Linked DNA regions of Callithrix jacchus. The protein of the gene in region 3 interacts with the protein of the main gene of each other region in a pairwise test. Links are inferred from orthologs where the notes say so. Each region holds a gene or a part of one and is shown on either strand. Other genes may lie near its edges. The genes, in order: FXR2, TGOLN2 and AP2M1.

Region 1 (5,203 bases), on a different chromosome or scaffold from region 3:
CAGGCCAGGCATGGTGGCTCACGCCTATAATCTCAGGACTCTGGGAGGTCAAGGTGGGCAAATCACCTGAGATCCAGAGTTCGAGACCAGCCTGACCACATGTTGAAACCCCGTCTCTACCAAAAATATAAAAATTAGCTGGGTGTAGTGGTGCATGCCTGTAAAGCCAGTTACTCTTGAGGCTGAGGCAGAATAATTGCTTGAACCTGGGAGGTAGAGGTTGCAATAAGTCAAGATAGTACCATTGCACTCCAGCCTGGGTGACAAGAGATGCTATCTCACAAAATAAAAAAGTAAAAATTCTTTTTTTTTTTTGTGAGATTGAGTTTTTCTCTTGTTACCCAGGCTGTAATGAAATGGCGCAATCTCAGCTCACCACAACCTTCACTTCCTGGGTTCAAGCAATTCTCCTGCCTCAACCTCACGAGTAGCTGGAATTATAGGCATCCGCCACTATGCCCCATTAATTAATTTTTATCTTTTTAGTAAAGATGGGGTTTCACCATGCTGGCCAGGCTGGTCTCGAACTCCCAACCTCAGGTGATTCACCCACCTCGGCCTCCCAAAGCACTCAAGTGCTGGGATTATAGGTGTGAGCCACTACCCCTGCCTAAAAAAGAAATATTTAGGCTGGGTGTGGTGGCTCACACCTGTAATTCTAGCAGTGAGCCTAGAAGTTCAAGAGTGAGCCTAGAAGTTCAAGACCAGCCTGGGCAATATGGCGAAATCGCATATCTATTAAAAATACAAAATACTGGCCAGGTGCGGTGGCTCACGCATGTAATCCTAGCACTCTGGGAGGTGGTGGATCACCTGAGGTCAGCAGTGTGAGACCAGCCTGGCCAACATAGTGAAACCCTGTCTCTATTAAAAATACAAAAACTAGACGGGCATGGTTGCAGGTGCCTGTAATCCCAGCTACTTGGGAGGCTAAGGCGGGAGAATTGCTTGAACTCAGGAGGCGGAGGTTGCAGTGAGCCAAGATCATGCCACTACATTCAGCCTGGGCAACACAGCAAGGCTGGGCACGGAGGCTCATGCCAATAATCTCAGCACTTTGGGAGGCCAAGGTGCAGATCACTTGAGGTCGGGACCTTGAGACCAGCCTGGAAAACATGGTGAAACCCTATCTCTACTAAAAATACAAAAATTACCAGGCGTGGTGGCTTAAGCCTGTAATCCCAGCACTTTGGGAGGCCAAGACGGGCAGATCACAAGGTCAGGAGATCAAGACCATCCTGGCTAACAGGGTGAAACTCTGTCTTTAAAATAAAAAATAATGATAATAAAAATTTAAAAAAAAAAAAAAAAAAAATATATATATATATATATATATATATATATATATATATATAAATTAGCTGGGTGTGGTGCTTGACACCTGTAACTCCAGCTACTTGGTAGGCTGAGGCAGGAGAATCACTAGAACCGGGGAGGCAAAGGTTGCAGTGAGCCAAGATTGTGCCACTGCACTCCAGTCTGGGCAACAGAGTGAAACTCCCTCTAAAAATAAAAAAAAAATTGCTGGGCATGGTGGCGCACACATGTAATCCCAACTACTATGGAGGGAGAGGTGGGAGAATCACCTGAACCTAGGAAGTCAAGTCTGCAATGAGCCATGTTACTCCAGCTTGGGTAATGGGAGTGAGACCCTGTCTCAAAGGGGAAAAAAATGAGGCGGGGAGCAGTCGTTCACTCCTATAATGCCAGCACTTTGGGAGGCCAAGGTGGGCAGATCACCTGAGGTCAGGAGTTTGAGACCAGCTTGGCCAATGTGGCAAAACCTTGTCCCCACTAAAAAAACACAAAAATTAGCAGGGTGTGGTGGTACACGCCTGTAACCCCAGCTACTTGGGAGTCTGAGGCAGGAGAATGGCTTGAACCCAGGAGGCAGAGGTTCCAACAGTGAGCCGAGATTGCACCACTGCATTCCAGCCTGGGCAACAAGAGAGAAACTCCATCTTAAAAAAAAAAAAATGAAAAAAAGAAATGTTCTAGTTTATCTATTAAGTTGTGAGAATGAACCAATAGGAAAAAAATTAAATATAAAATTTTTTAAAAAGAAACAATCTAGCCTACTGACCTCACTGTCACAGAGGAAGAAGATAAATCTCAGTGTAATGAAATGTATTTGCCAAAAGACAATTATATGACAAGACTTAGCATTCCAAGTCCAGTGGTTTCCCATTGTCCAAATGGTTCTCTCTCTTTTTTTTTTTTGAGACGGAGTTTCGCTCTTGTTACCCAGGCTGGAGTGCAATGGCGCGATCTCGGCTCACCGCAACCTCCGCCTCCTGGATTCAGGCAATTCTCCTGCCTCAGCCTCCTGAGTAGCTGGGATTACAGGCAAGCGCCACCATGCCCAAGTAATTTTTTGTATTTTTAGTAGAGACGGGGTTTCACCACGCTGACCAGGATGGTGTCGATCTCTTGACCTCATGATCCACCCGCCTCGGCCTCCCAAAGTGCTGGGATTACAGGTGTGAGCCACCGCGCCCGGCTAGTTCTCTCTCTTTTTTAAATGTCTACCTCATATTCAAATGACATTCATATTTCTTTTTTTTTTTTTTTTTTTAAACCAAATGGTTCTCAAATATATCCTGCAGAGCAGTTTGGTTTCCAGAGGTGATTTAGGGGTATTGGTAGAAGTAAGAGTCATGCCCCCTTTCCACTTTTAGACAGAGCTGCTCTGATTCATTTTATGCACTGTGCTTCCAAGTAACATTTCACTTCATCGAAGAGGGTACCATCGGCCAGGTGTGGCGCTCACGCCTGTAATCCTAGCACTTTGGGAGGACAAGATGGGTGAATCACATGAGGCCAGGAGTTTGAGACCAGCATGGGTAACATGGAGAAACCCCATCTCCTCTAAAAACATAAAACTTAGCAGAGTACGGTGGTCCACGCCTGTAATCCCAGCAACTCAGAAGGCTGAGGCATGAGAACAGCTTAAACCCGGAAGGTGGAGGTTGCAGTGAGCCAAGATTGCACTCCAGCCTAGGCAACACAGCAAGACTCTGTCTTAAAAAAATAATTTGGCTAAAAGAAATTTGAAAATAATTTCACTATGACATGACAGAGCTCTGTCATCTGGAGGAGTCTGAGATAAAATAGCTGACCCACGTTTAATTGCCCAGTAAAAAACTCTTTATCCTGTAAACACAAGAGCATGGGTGGAAGACAGGGTAGGAAGAGAGGAAGACAATACCCTTCAGCAGGAGGAAAAGGAGCTAACAATTACCTCTAGGTGCTTGGTAGCTTCTTCATTGCGGGACATTAGTAATAGTTTGGTGCGCAGGCTTCGGAAATGCATATCACCCAGCAGAGATGCCCGCTTCACAGGGGCTTCTGTGGTTGACTAGGAGGAAACCAATGGGAAAGTCACGAAAACTGGCTTGGAATACTGCAGGAGAGGCAGGGACCAGGAATCAGTCCTAAATCCCTGGAAAAGGGTTAAGAAATTAAACTAGGAGGCCAGGCGCAGTGGCGCACGCCTGTAATCCCAGCACTTTGGAGACAAACGCAGGTAGATCACAAGGTCAGGAGTCTGAGACCAGCCTGACCAACATGGTGAAACCCCAACTCTACTAAAAATACAAAAATTAGCAAGGTGTAGTGCCATGGGCCTGTAATCCCAGCTGCTTAGGAGGCTGAGGCAGGAGAATCGCTTAAACCCGGGAGGCAGAGGTTGCAGTGAGCTGAGAGAATATGCCATTGCACTCCAGCCTGGATGACAGGGCAAGACTCTGTCACAAAACAAAACAAAAAGAAATGAAGCTAGGAAGGGGGAGTCCCACAAAGGCTCATTATCGGGGTACCAAAGGAAAGTGGTTTTAGAGAGAAAACAAAGAGCAGGACAGGTGCAGTGGCTCACGCTTATAATCCAAGCACTTTGGGAGGCAGAAGCAGACAGATTACCTGAGGTCAGGAGCTCAAGACCAGCCTGACCAACATGGAGAAACCCCGTCTCTACTAAAAATACAAAATTAGCCAGGCATGGTGGCATATGCCTGTAATCCCAGCTACTTGGGAGGTTGAGACAGGAGAATCTCTTGAACCCGGGAGGCAGAAGTCGCGGTGAGCTGAGATCGCACCACTGCACTCCAGCCTGGGCAACAACAGCGAAACGTCATCTCAAAAAATGTATAAATAAATAAGTAAAATAAAAATAAAAATAGAAAGCAAGGAGCAACTGTAAGGTGAGAGCTATATACTTTTTGAAAGTCCAAATATCAAGAGAGGTTCCCCAACCCAGATGGCAACAGGATTATCATGTTTTTAAAAAAGCTCATACATGAGGAAAACTAAAGAAAGGTAAGGCTACCTGGGCCTCTAGGAATCAGGAAAAATAAAGTCCTCTCTGACAAATAAATGTAAGCACATTTAAGCCCTTCCCTTTCTGCATAGGGGTTAAAAGGGGGAAAAAATGTTCAAAGGGCTTGTGTGAAATTCAGGCAAAATAGGCTGGGCGAGGTGGCTCACACCTGTAATCCCAACACTTTGGCGGGTGGATCATGAGGTCAGGAGTTCAAGAACAGCCTGGCCAAGATGGTGAAAACCCATCTCTACTAAAAATACAAAAATTATCTGGGCACAGTGGCAGGAGCCTGTAATCCCAGCTACTTGGGAGACTGAGGCAGGAGAATCACTTGAACCAGGGCAGCAGAGGTTGCAGTGAACAGAGATGGAGCCACCACACTCCAGCCTGGGTGACAAAGTGAGACTTGGTCTCAAAAAAAAAAGAAAAAAAGAAAAGAAATTCAGGCAGAATAAACTCACCAGAATGAAGAGCTCACTATTTGTGATGTTGAGAAAGATGCAGTTGGCTCCCAGGGCTTTCTTGAACTCTTTATGGACGTTTTCATTGGAGCAGCTGCAGAGAAAAAAAGTACTCAGAGGGCAGAATGCAGAAGAGTGAAGAATTCAGGGGAGGTTGGGCATGGTGGCTTGAGCCTATAATCCTAGCACTTTGGGAGGCTAGGGCAGGATGATCACTTAAGGCCACAAGTTTAAGACTAGCATGGGCAACATAGTGAGACCCTGTCTCTATTTAAAAAAAAAAAATTCAGAGAAGAAAGAGCAGGGCTCAGAAAAGAAGAGGGGCCAGGCGTGGTGGCTCTAGTCTGTAATCCCAGCACTTTGGGAGGCTGAGGCGGGTGGATCACGAGGTCAAGAGATCGAGACCATCCTGGTCAACATGATG
Region 2 (5,932 bases), on a different chromosome or scaffold from region 3:
TTCATCTTCACCTGGGACATAGCTACAACCTTTGGTCCCCAGCTTATGGGTCCCTTCCTCAATTGATCTCATAGTTTCTGCACTTTTCTTTCTGGCAGTTCTTGGAATGTGCATGCACGCACACATATTTGTATAGATATTTAATATTTATGTAACCCACTAGATTACATGCTCCATGAAGTTAATACCTACTTTAAAAATTCAATATAACATAGTTGTACATATTTATGGGGTACATGTGGCATTTTTATACAGGTATACAATATGTAATGACCAAATCAGGGTAACTGGAATATATATCACCTCAAACATTTATGTATTCTTTGTGTTGGGAACATTACGATTCTTCTATTTTGAAATATATAATGTTATTGTTAACTATAATTTTCCTACTGTAGTATTGACTCCAGAGCTTACTCTTCTTGTGTATCTGTATTTTTGTACCCACTAACCAACTTCTCTTTATCGTCCCTCTCCTCCTTCCCTTCTCAGCCTCTGGTAACGACCATTGTACTCTCTATTTCCATGAGATCCACCAGTCTCAACTACTTGCAAGGCTGAGGTGGGAGACCACTTGGGCCCAGGAAACAGAGATTGCAGTGAGCTGAGATTGTGCCACTGCACTCAAGCCTAGGTGGTAGAGCGAGATCCTGTCTCAAAAAAAAAGAAAAGAAAAGCGATGGTCTCTTGCCATGTTGCCCAGGCTGGTCTGGAACTTCTGGGCTCAGGTGATCCTCCTGTCTCTGTCTCCCAAAGTACTGAGATTACAGAAGTAGATATCTCTTCGATATACTTATTTCCTTTCTTTTGGATATATATCCAGCAGTGGGAATACTGGATCATATGGCAGTTCTATTTTTAGTTTTTTGAGAAACTCTATGTGCTGTTTTCCTTTATTTTTTTATAGAGACAGGGTCTTGCTATGTTGCCCAGGCTGATCTCGAACTCCTGGGCTCAAGCCATCTGCCTGCCTCAGCCTCCCAAGGTGCTGGGACTACAGGTGTGAGCCTCTATGCTCTGCTAATACTGTATTCCATAATGGCTATACTAATCTACATTCCCGCCAACAGGATATGAGCATTCCCTTCTTCTCATCCTTGTCAGTATTTCGTTTTTTTTTTTTTTTTGATAACAGCCATTCTAACTGGGGCTGAGATGATCTCTTATTGTGGTTTGGATTTGCATTTCCCTGATGATTAGTGATAATGAGCATTTTAAAATATACCTGTTGGCCATTTGTATGTCATTTTTTGAGATATATCTATTCAGCAGGTATTTGGCTCATTTCTTTTTCTTTTTTTGAGATGGGGTCTCACTCTGTTGCATAGGCTGGAGTGCCTTGGTAAGATCTTGGCTCACTCACTGCAACCTCTGCCTCCCAGGTTCAAGCAATTCTCTCATCCTCAGCCTGCTGAGTAGCTGGGATCACATGCACAGGTCACCATGCCTGGCTAAATGTTTTGTTTTTGTATTTTCGGTAGACACGGGGTTTCATCATGTTGCCCCGGCTAGTGCCCATTTTTTAATCAGATTTTTTTTTCCTTTAGTTTCTTATATATAGTTTCTCCCATTGCATAGGTGGGTTCTTTGTTTCCTTTGCTGTGCAGAAGCTTTTTAACTTGATGCAATCCCATTTTAAGACCTATCATTTCTTAAATCATTGTCTTCAAAGCACCTAACCTTGCTAACGTTCATAAGGTGATTTCAAGCATTTAATGTATAAACATAACAGTAACTGTAAACTGTGGGATATAAAACTATTTACCTGATTATCCCAATATGCGGAGAAAATAAATATGTATAGAAAAAAAGAGAAACATACTAAGAAGAGAAAGTACTTTTAACAAAACTAGACGGAAACATAATAAACTAATGTAAGTGGTAACCTGTGGACGAGTAGGGAGGAAGACTTTTCTAAAGTCTATTTACTTTAAAATCTGGTTTTGATTTCTGAAACATTATATTAACTAATCAAAACATTAAATGTTTACAGGGCAGACAATACACTAAAACATTAATAGTGATTATCCCAGAAGGGTGGGAGTCAGATTTTGTTTTCTGCTTCTCTACATTTACGATCGGAATAAAGGACACGTTTTGGTAAAGATGTCTGGTGACCTCAGAGGACTCAGTCTCCGTGGAGTCGGGAAGGAGGACGGCTGGGATGCGAAGGCAACGCTTTGTAGGTAATCAAACGGATTTGTTCCCACATGGGAGCGACCAGAGCACAGCATGTTTGTGTACTGCGAGGAGGGAACCACGAAAAAGGCAGAGCTTAGAAACGCAAGCACTGGCTGGTGGTGGCCAAGAGGAGCCTGGCGCCAGCGACCTCACTCCCGCGGCCAGTGGGCGAGGCGAAGGAGCTCCTGCTCTGCCTGTAAGGTCTAGGAAGTACGAGGCGGAGAGGACGAAAAACGGAGAGCCAGTCTGTTGTGGCTGTGGTGAAGAGAAACCAGGAAGATAAAGCTCGCTCTCCACTCGGGGACCGTAAGCGCAGCAACGAAAAGCGAACACACACAACAGCCGCAGCAGCTGCCCCCAGTCCCCGCCCCTTGACCTGGCGGAAGCGGGAGACGGAGAGGCGCGCGCAGCAGGGGCGGGGCTGGAGAGGGACTCCATCCGCGGATCTCGCGGGAGCGTTAGAGGACGGAAGCGCTATCTGAGCAGGATGCGGTTCGTGGTTGCGTTGGTCCTCCTGAGCATCTCAGCGGCGGGTAAGACCCTCCACCCCGCATCCCACTCTTGCCCCCAGCCTCCATTCTCACATGGGGCGGTCACCATCTAGGCTCGCTTCTTCCCTGCCCGACCCACCTCTCCGCTCGCCAGCGGCTCCCGCCCCACCCCACAATCCCCATTCGCCCACTGCCCCCGATCTCTTCCAGCTCTGAGGAGTTCCTTGTTCCGGCCTGCTAATTTGTTTTGTATTTCAGGAGCCGCTCCGCTCCCAGACTCCGAAACTGCCAAGAAAGAAGAAGCTGGAGTTCCTTCTACAGGAAGGGATTCCAACCACCCCACCTCGAGCCAGCTGCCGGGAGGCTCTACCAGGTCGGATCCGGAGCCGCAGACTCCAAAAGACAGCTCCAGCAAGTCGAGTTCCGGGGTGCAGACCCGAAAAGACAGCCCCAGCAGGTCAGGTGCGGACATACAGACCGCAGAACACGGCCCCAGCCAGTCGGGTGCGGACGGGCAGACCCCACAACACGGCCCCAGCCAGTCGGGTGCGGACGGGCAGACCCCACAACACGGCCCCAGCCAGTCGGGTGCGGACGGGCAGACCCCACAACACGGCCCCAGCCAGTCGGGTGCGGACGGGCAGACCTCACAACACGGCCCCAGCCAGTCGGGTGCGGACGGGCAGACCCCTGAACATGGCCCCAGCCAGTCGGGTGCGGACGGGCAGACCCCACAACACGGCCCCAACCAGTCGGATGCGGATGTGCAGACCCCACAACACGGCCCCAGCCAGTCGGGTGCGGACGTGCAGACCCCACAACACGGCCCCAGCCAGTCGGGTGCGGACGGGCAGACCCCAGAACACGGCCCCAGCCAGTCGGGTGCGGACGGGCAGACCCCTGAACACGGCACCAGCCAGTCGGGTGCGGACGGGCAGACGCCTGAACACGGCACCAGCCAGTCGGATGCGGATGTGCAGACCCCAAAACACGGTCCCAGCAAGTCGGGTGCGGAGGCGCAGACCCCAGAACTTGGCCCTGCCAAGTCGCGTGTGGATTCACAGGCCCCAAAAGACGGCTCTAGCAAGTCGGGTGCGGAGGACCAGACCCCAGAACACGGCAAGTCGGGTGTGGAGGAGCAGACCCCAAAAGACGGCTCTAGCAAGGTGGTTCCAGAGCAGTCTTACAGGAAAGACCCCGCCAAGCCCATCTCCAACCCCTCTGACAAGGAGCTCCCCAAGGCTAACACAAACCAGCTAGCTGACAAAGGGAAGCTTTCTCCGCATGCTTTCAGAACCAAATCTGGGGAGGACACTGACTTCATTTCTCCCCCTCAGGAGGAAGAAAGTAAGTCTTCAGAGCCTACTGAGGATGTGGAGCCCAAAGAGGCTGAAGATGATGATACAGGACCTGAGGAGGGCTCACCGCCCAAAGAAGAAAAAGAAAAGGTGTCCGGTTCTGCCTCCAGCGAGAACCGTGATGGGACACTTTTGGAGAAGGATGACCATTATAAGGACAGCTCTGAAAGTGTCAGCGCAGAGAGCAGCCACTTCTTTGCATATCTGGTGACTGCAGCCGTTCTTGTGGCTGTCCTCTATATCGCTTATCACAACAAGCGAAAGGTAAGTCGAAAGTGGCCTTCAGGAGGGGAGTGGGATTTCCTGCACTCTGGAAGCTTGGGTGTGGGTGGTTATCCCGTCACTTCTCTGCCCATGAGCGTTGGGGATTTTAAGACGAACTTCAGTTTTCCTCAGGCCCCGCTAGGCCTCTGTACTCTTGTTTGGTTAATTATGTTTTCAACCTGTCACCTGTCCTCTGAGTGTCCTCTGCTACTGCATTAGGAGCCAAGTTAGGACATTATTAGGATGTGGCATCTCCTCCTGTAACTTTGAATTTAGGCCCTTCACAGCCTCAGGGGACCTGAGTACTGGACAGTGAGAGCACATACCTTCCATCCTGTTTCCATTCCTGAGGCTGTGCGTCATTGCTAGCTTCCTTTCCCCACGTTCTGTCTTCCATCAGCAGTGACACAAAGAATGGTTTCTATTACTCGGTCTTTGATACCAGCAGCAAAGAGTCCAGGGACTTTTCTGCAATCAATAATAATTAGAAGAAAGGCCAGAAATTGCACAGACATGTACACCTTTTACTTTTTCAGCAGGGTTTGGTCTGTTTCTTAGCAACCACTCTAATGACAAAATTACTGGATTTCTTATTGAGCCCCCAAAATTTAGAAGATAGTTTCTGTAACCTGCTTAAAGTTGGGGAGTCCAATTAATGCTGGCCATGAGGCCTGTGGCTATAAAGAATAGAGGGGAAGACCTTTAGTGAAAATGGACATTCCTGGCCAGGTGCAGTTGCTCATGCTTGTAATCCCAGCACTTTGGGAGGCTGAGTTGGGAGAATTGCTTGAGCCCAGGAGTTTGAGACCAGCCTGGCCAACATAGCAAGAACTCATCTCTACACATAGTGAAAAATTTAGCCAGATGTAGTGGTGCACATGTGTCATCCCAGCTGGGAGTATGGCTTGACTGTGTGAGGTCAAGTCTTGAGTGGGCCGTGATTATGCCATTGCACTCCAGCCTGAGTGAGATCTTGTCTAGAAAAAAAAAAAAATGCATTTCTTTTTCTACCTCCAAGTGTTCATTATGCAGGGTAACCTTGGGTGTGAAATGAGAGTGATAAAGAGTATAGCTGTTGGTGTAGCAGCGTGGGGTGAAAGAGTACCTTTGTAGATAGGAAATTCTGATAATGATTTTTTTTAAAGGAATGTCCTATCCTGGATCCCTCTGGGAAGGAGTTGATAGATCTTTGACTATGTACCTTTGAGTAAATCATACAGACTCCCTCCACATGCTAGAGCTTGGACAGCTTTCTATTTGTTATTTCCTATTAAGCAATACAAAGGATTCTGATGTGATTAGCTTCTTTCTTAAAATTGCTGCAGTTTAAATAGACCTCTGTGAGTGTACTGGTCTTTCTGCAGTCAAGGTCATTAACAAATATACTACCAGGTGACTGCCTCTGATTTCAGAGGCTGAACTATGTCATTACAGAACCACCTGTTAATCATTTTCTTTTTCCTGTCCTTAGATCATTGCTTTTGTCCTGGAAGGAAAAAGATCTAAAGTCACCCGGCGGCCAAAGGCCAGTGACTACCAGCGTTTGGACCAGAAGGTAAGGAAGGAGGACCAGGTCCATGGGAGGGATAGGCAACCTCAGATGGACCCAGTAGTGGGCTTGCATTTGCCATGGCAGCA
Region 3 (5,637 bases):
ATCGCTTGAGGTCAGGAGTTCAAGATCAGCCTGGGCAACATAGTGAAACCCCATCTCTACTAAAATTACAAAAATTGGATGGGTGTTTTGGTGCCTGACTAATCTCAGCTACTCAGGAGGCTGAGGCATGAGAATCGCTTGAACCCAGGAAGTGGAAGTTGCAGTGAGCTGAGATCGCACCACTGCATCTACCCTGGGTGACAGAGTGCGATTCTGCCTCAAAAGCAAACAAACAAAAACAATACTTCTTGGGGTTTTGGTGAGCAGAGGGCTTTGCTGGAAGTGTGACTCAGTCTTGCCTGCCTTCTGGGAACTCTAGATTTTCCTCAACTCCAGTCCATGGCTTCCAGCCACCACAGCAGGGCTGTTTCATGTACTTCTCGCTCTCACTCTGTCTTGTCCAACCCTCTTGAGAATTTCTCCACAATTGCTCGTGCCTGTCAGTATCAGTGCTTCCATCTTTCTGTCTTGGATTCACTTCTCTTTCCTTTCTATTTACTCCCAAAATGGAGTCATTCATCCTGATATCCTCAATTGCTGCTGATATGCTGGTGATTCCCAAATATATAGCTCCAACCCCAACTTCCCCCAGACTTCAGATCTGTATTAGTGTTACCTACTGGACATCTCTGGGCATTTCCATATGGACTCACGTGCCCAACCAAGTATGTTTCTCCTGAATTCCTGTCCTGGTTACCTTCATCACAATCTACATAGGCTCACCAGCTAGAAACATTTATGAGCTTACATTCCTTCTTCCCATATCTTACTCATCAGCACATCATATCCATTTCACTCCAACAATCTTTCTTGAATTTTCCCTCCCTCTCCTCTCTGTCTCTACTTTAATTCACTGGAGCATGGGATTTGGAGTCAGGTTGTTTTGGGTTTGAATTCCAGCTCTACTATTTTTGGTTGTGTGATAGGAGAGTTATTTAACCTCTCTGAGCCTCAGTTCCCTCGTATGTAAAATGATGATAATAATACCTACCTCACAGGGTTGTTGTGAGGATTTAAATTAGATATTGTACGAAAAGTGCCTAGCACAGTGCCTGGCACACAGTAGAGTAGGTGCTCAATAAATGGTAGCTATTATTATTATTATTTTATCATTATTATTTACTCTGGTAGCAGTTTAGGGTATTTTTGGAAGATAAAGCTTTTTGCAGAGGTAGGAGTCTTGAAGCCTTGAGTGCTGGTTCAAAAATTAGAAATGCCAATATTCAGTCATTTAATGACTTCAGGCTGTGACTACGATTTGGAGGAGGTCAGATCTTCATCCAGCCACATCGTGGCATCTGGCTGGAGGCTGTGAAGGACTGTAACATTTGCAACCAGATCTGCCCTTTCTTGCCCTTCCTTCTTCCCATGACAGGTGCAGTCCTGCCCAAGGAAGGCAGCAGTTTCTCTCTGCCCACAGAAAGAGAGGAGCCAACAGATCTTCTTCAGATTCTGCAAGAACCAAGCAAGCCCTTCATGTTTGAGGGTTGGCTCTATCTCCTCAGCTTGGATGTAAAGCTTATGTTTATCAAAGAGGAGATTTCAAATCCCATGTCCAACTAAATTCAACTCTTTTAACATCTTTTGAGCAGCATATATGCCTATCACTAGAAGTCATAACAATCGTATAGCTAAGGAGAACATTGGCCCGTTCATGAAAAGCTTTAGCTGACCTCGAGGAAGAGTGTACAGTCATGGACATATTTGTGAAAAGCTTTAGTTTCTTCCCAAGTAGTCGCCTCCTTCCTCCCCGCTCTTCTCCTTGGGTCTTGAATCCCTTGGAAAAAGCTCATGTCTGGAACAAATGTCTGAGAAAAGCTTGGGAGAATCAGAGGTACAGTTAGAAAGCAGTAAATTCGGCACAAACACTTCTGCCAAGTTGCATTTATTTGTGTGTAAAGTGAGGACAGCCAGTCTTGGAACTCTGGAGACAGAAAAGGCCTACAGCAATCCGAGGTTTAACAGATGTGCTTCTACAAACGGCATTAATATTCCAAAGCTCTCTGAAACAAATAGAAACAGGAAGAAGTGCAGAGACTACAATTCCCAGAGTGCTCAGTGAAAAAAAAATAAGGTGGGTGGAGCGGTGTATGCTGGACTGTGTATTTCTGGTAGGGCCGACTAAGGCCACGCCTATCTCTCCCCCTGAGGCGGGGACGGTTTCTCGAAGGCCGTCGGTAGTTGTGGTTTTGCTAAACGTAGAGCGCTTCAAATCGCTAGCAAGGAGGCACCGAAGCCTGACGGGATTTGTAGTCAGCGCGGGAGGCGGGCGCGCAAGCGCAGCCGGCTCCGGGGCGGGGCCGCGGCACTGCGGTGAAAGCCCAGGCAGCGGGCAGACGAGCAGGGGGCGGGCGGACATCTTGGGATTCCGAGAGTGGCCAGGCCGGCAGAGCATAGGGCCGCGGACACCAGGTGAGCCGGGCATCTGGCCTTATGGGTTGGGGGAGAACGCCGCGGGTCGTCTGTCCCGCCGCCCAGCTTTGCCTGCCCTGCACTGAGCTGGGAGAAAAGCTGCCCACACCCGGGAGTGGCTTCAGCCTTCAGACCCGGGAGCGAGCGGACGGTGGGGCGGGGGCGCCCAGGGCGCGGTTGCAGGGCTGGCGGGGAGCGGCGCCCTCCACCTGACCCGCCTGGCGACTCCCATGAGGGAGACCGCCTGGAATCCTCCCAGAGCAGGAACACTGCGCAGCGCCCCCTCCCTAGGATCCTGCCAGCCCCCTGGCCCTCCGCGCAAGGACAATTTTCCCGTCTCGTAGGACAGTGACACCCCCTTGTGCCGCCGCCTTGCACCGTGACAAGTCTCACACCATGCAGCGCCCCCTCCTCTGAGTTCAGTGACACCCCTTGGCTCTTCCTTAGACCTGTGACAGCCCCCGCACCCCGTGGCACCATTTTTTCCCACGATGCCCTCCCCAAGGCGAAAAGCCCACGACCCCCTCATTACTCTGCAGCGGAATCCCAGACAGGTTCTGTCAGCCCCAGCTTGTTCACCACTGTCAATCTCCCCCTGCCGGCTTTTCCTTCTTAAAGCCTTGACCTTTTCCATATAGGGAACTCTTACCTTTAGGTGCACCCCACCAGCCCAGTTTGCTGCTGTGAGCTCACCTGGGGACTCTGCCTGGCTGTCGCTGCAGGTCTTTCCCCTTAACTAAATGTTCCATTTCTGCCCAAGGCCCCACCTCCGGCTCTCCGGTGCCCTGCGCTACCTACCACCCGGTACCTGTGGACTTGGTTCCTTGCCCCAGGCTCTACCTCCATTTTGCATCTCCTTTCCTAGGCTGTTTGGAACTGAGGCATGGGATGAGTCTACCACCTTGAGAGAGCGCTCACCCCTCTGGAAGACCTTGACAGCCACAGGAAAAGGCCTTATTTTCCAGTTTGGAAAAGTCTGCTAAAGTACTTCCTGTGAAATTAATACCAGGGCTAATCCAGGAAATCTGAAACCAAACTAGCGCCTTTTCTCAAACAATTTAAATTAATTTGACCCAAATAATTTGGATAATTCAGGCATTCTGACATCCCTGGCTCTTGCTTAGAGGTACCCAGGCCAGCAGTGAGTTACTAGATGGGCCTGGATCACGATTTCGGATGGAAGGATTTCTTAATTTTATGAGCTTGCACCACCCCCACCCCCACCGCAGTCCTCATTTTTATTGCATTCCAGAGCTTTTTGAAAGGGGAGCGGTGGTCAGAGGTAACTGTGATAGTAGCTTGGGTGATGGAAGTGTAGTCTGCCAGCACTGGACCTTCCTCCTTTGCCCTTCGCCTGCTTATTCCACTGCCAGGAAGAAGAGGTTAAGCCACACTCGCGGGTCGACAGTAGGGCCTAAGGGCTCCCTTCTCTTCTCCTCCTCACACCCTTTCCTGGAATGTGAGTGCCGGAGGTTCAGGCCCTGCGACCTTCTCTGAAGGGTAGTGGAGCCCTACCCGAGCGACTGGATGCTCTAAAGGTTAGGCCTGGGGGCTCCAGGCCTGAACCAGCTGTCGTAATTCCTATTGCCATTCCTGCAGCGGCAGGCAGGCAGGCCTTAGTGACTCACGGGCTGGAGCCTGAGACTGCACAGGAGGTGGCCGAAAAGGATCATTTCTGAGCTCAGTGCTCAGGAGAGGGGGCGGGGGTTACTGATGCTCAGCCCCAGGAAAGGGAGGGTCAAAATGGCCTTAGAGTCCTGGGCCTAACCTCTCTCCTTTTCTTTCTCCCATCCAGTGTGGAATAAACAGGAACTGGAGCCTGGCTGAGGGGAGGGGCCTGTCTGGGAGGGCTGCAGGGTCACTTGCTAGAGGGTTGAGTCAGGAAAAAGGCTCCAGTGACCTGCACAGCTCCACAGGGGATGTTGGCAGGGGTTCTGAGGCCTTTTACCCGCCCCTGCCTATCCTAGGTCTGTTCTCAGAGCGATGGGCCTCGGAGACTGATCTGCCGCCATGATTGGAGGCTTATTCATCTATAATCACAAGGGGGAGGTGCTCATCTCCCGAGTCTACCGAGATGACATCGGGTGAGTCCCCTGGCCCAGCCAGCTGTGCCCCCCTTCGCCCCCCCTCCAGCCCCAGCATGCAGGATTAGGTCTGTTCCCACCAGAGGCTTGACTTGGGCCACTCCGACTCCTGGCTGCATCCTGGAAGCCCAGCTAGTTAGCCTGGCTCCCATTAGGTCTGGTGGTATTGGCCTGGCAGGCAGCCTGCAGGCCACAAGGTGGGACCTGTGGAATGGCAAGGTCCCACAGCCTGAGGAACTCCTGCCCTTCCTGCATCCCGTTTCTTTAGGCCTGGGTGCTCTGGGTGCTGAAGATGAGTGCTTTTGCCCAGGCTACTTAATTCCTTCCTTGAGGAGGAGGGAGAAGTGCCTCCAGTGGGTGGAGTTAGTGGCCAGGCTGGAGGTCCTAATCCATCTAAGCCTTGCTCTCAGAAGCCCTTCTCATGTCAAGCGCCTTCACTGGATTCTATTGAAAGCCTCTCCAGGCTGCCGAATCCTCTCAGGCTTCCTTTCTCAGGAGGAGTCATGCTGCTGACTCAGCTGTCTTCAGTTCCTCTGGGCCATTCCTGGGGGAGATGCTGGGAGGAAGCGTGAGGCACTCTCCGGGTCATGGAGGGAGGGCAGGGAGGCCATGCTGCCGTCCCTGGCCTATCAGACGGCCATGCTGCCGTCCCTGGCCTATCAGACGGCCATGCTGCCATCCCTGGACGGCTCCATATGCTGGGCCCCTTAGACCTTCTCACAGCCACAGCCTGCCTTCTCATTCTGTGCCCCCTGGACACCCTCGTTCTTTCCGACTGAGGGGACCTAGCTAGCCTTCGAGGCACTAAGGAGATGAGGCTCCTCTGGTTCCTGCTGCCTGTTGTTCTTCCCCAGAGAGCTGGAGATAAAGTCACAGAATGGGCCTGTTGCTGTGCCTCTCACTTGACTCCCTGGGTGTTGGGCTGGCCTGGCCTTTGAGGCTGTTTGTCTGTTGGCTGGTGGAGTGCCATGGGCTAGAGCTGCAGCTATGGCAAGGCCTGGCCTGGCTGAACCTGGCTGGCTACACCCCACCCCAGCCCCTCCTGCCTTGGATGGACTGGGCAAGCCAAGGCTGATCATGCGCCGCCTTGCCTGTCCCGTCTGCCTCTGCCTCACAGTGTGTGCTCCCTCCCGGTGTGTTG

What was found.
Region 1: the proteins of AP2M1 (region 3) and FXR2 interact in binary tests that used the Homo sapiens proteins (3 or more experiments, as listed by UniProt). The link is inferred for Callithrix jacchus from reciprocal best matches to the Homo sapiens genes AP2M1 and FXR2.
Region 2: the proteins of AP2M1 (region 3) and TGOLN2 interact in a two-hybrid assay, tested with the Homo sapiens proteins (2 studies listed by BioGRID). The link is inferred for Callithrix jacchus from reciprocal best matches to the Homo sapiens genes AP2M1 and TGOLN2.

What each region holds. Positions count from the first base shown.
Region 1 is NC_133506.1:74,096,171-74,101,373, forward strand, and holds part of FXR2 (RNA-binding protein FXR2), read right to left. Parts: intron 4,874-5,203; coding exon 4,780-4,873; intron 3,359-4,779; coding exon 3,242-3,358; intron 1-3,241. UniProt on the Homo sapiens protein: mRNA-binding protein that acts as a regulator of mRNAs translation and/or stability, and which is required for adult hippocampal neurogenesis. Specifically binds to AU-rich elements (AREs) in the 3'-UTR of target mRNAs.
Region 2 is NC_133515.1:27,701,296-27,707,227, forward strand, and holds the start of TGOLN2 (trans-Golgi network integral membrane protein 2), read left to right. Parts: upstream 1-2,641; 5' UTR 2,642-2,668; coding exon 2,669-2,714; intron 2,715-2,930; coding exon 2,931-4,294; intron 4,295-5,765; coding exon 5,766-5,851; intron 5,852-5,932. UniProt on the Homo sapiens protein: May be involved in regulating membrane traffic to and from trans-Golgi network.
Region 3 is NC_133516.1:13,157,938-13,163,574, forward strand, and holds the start of AP2M1 (AP-2 complex subunit mu), read left to right. Parts: upstream 1-2,307; 5' UTR 2,308-2,412; intron 2,413-4,379; 5' UTR 4,380-4,422; coding exon 4,423-4,496; intron 4,497-5,637.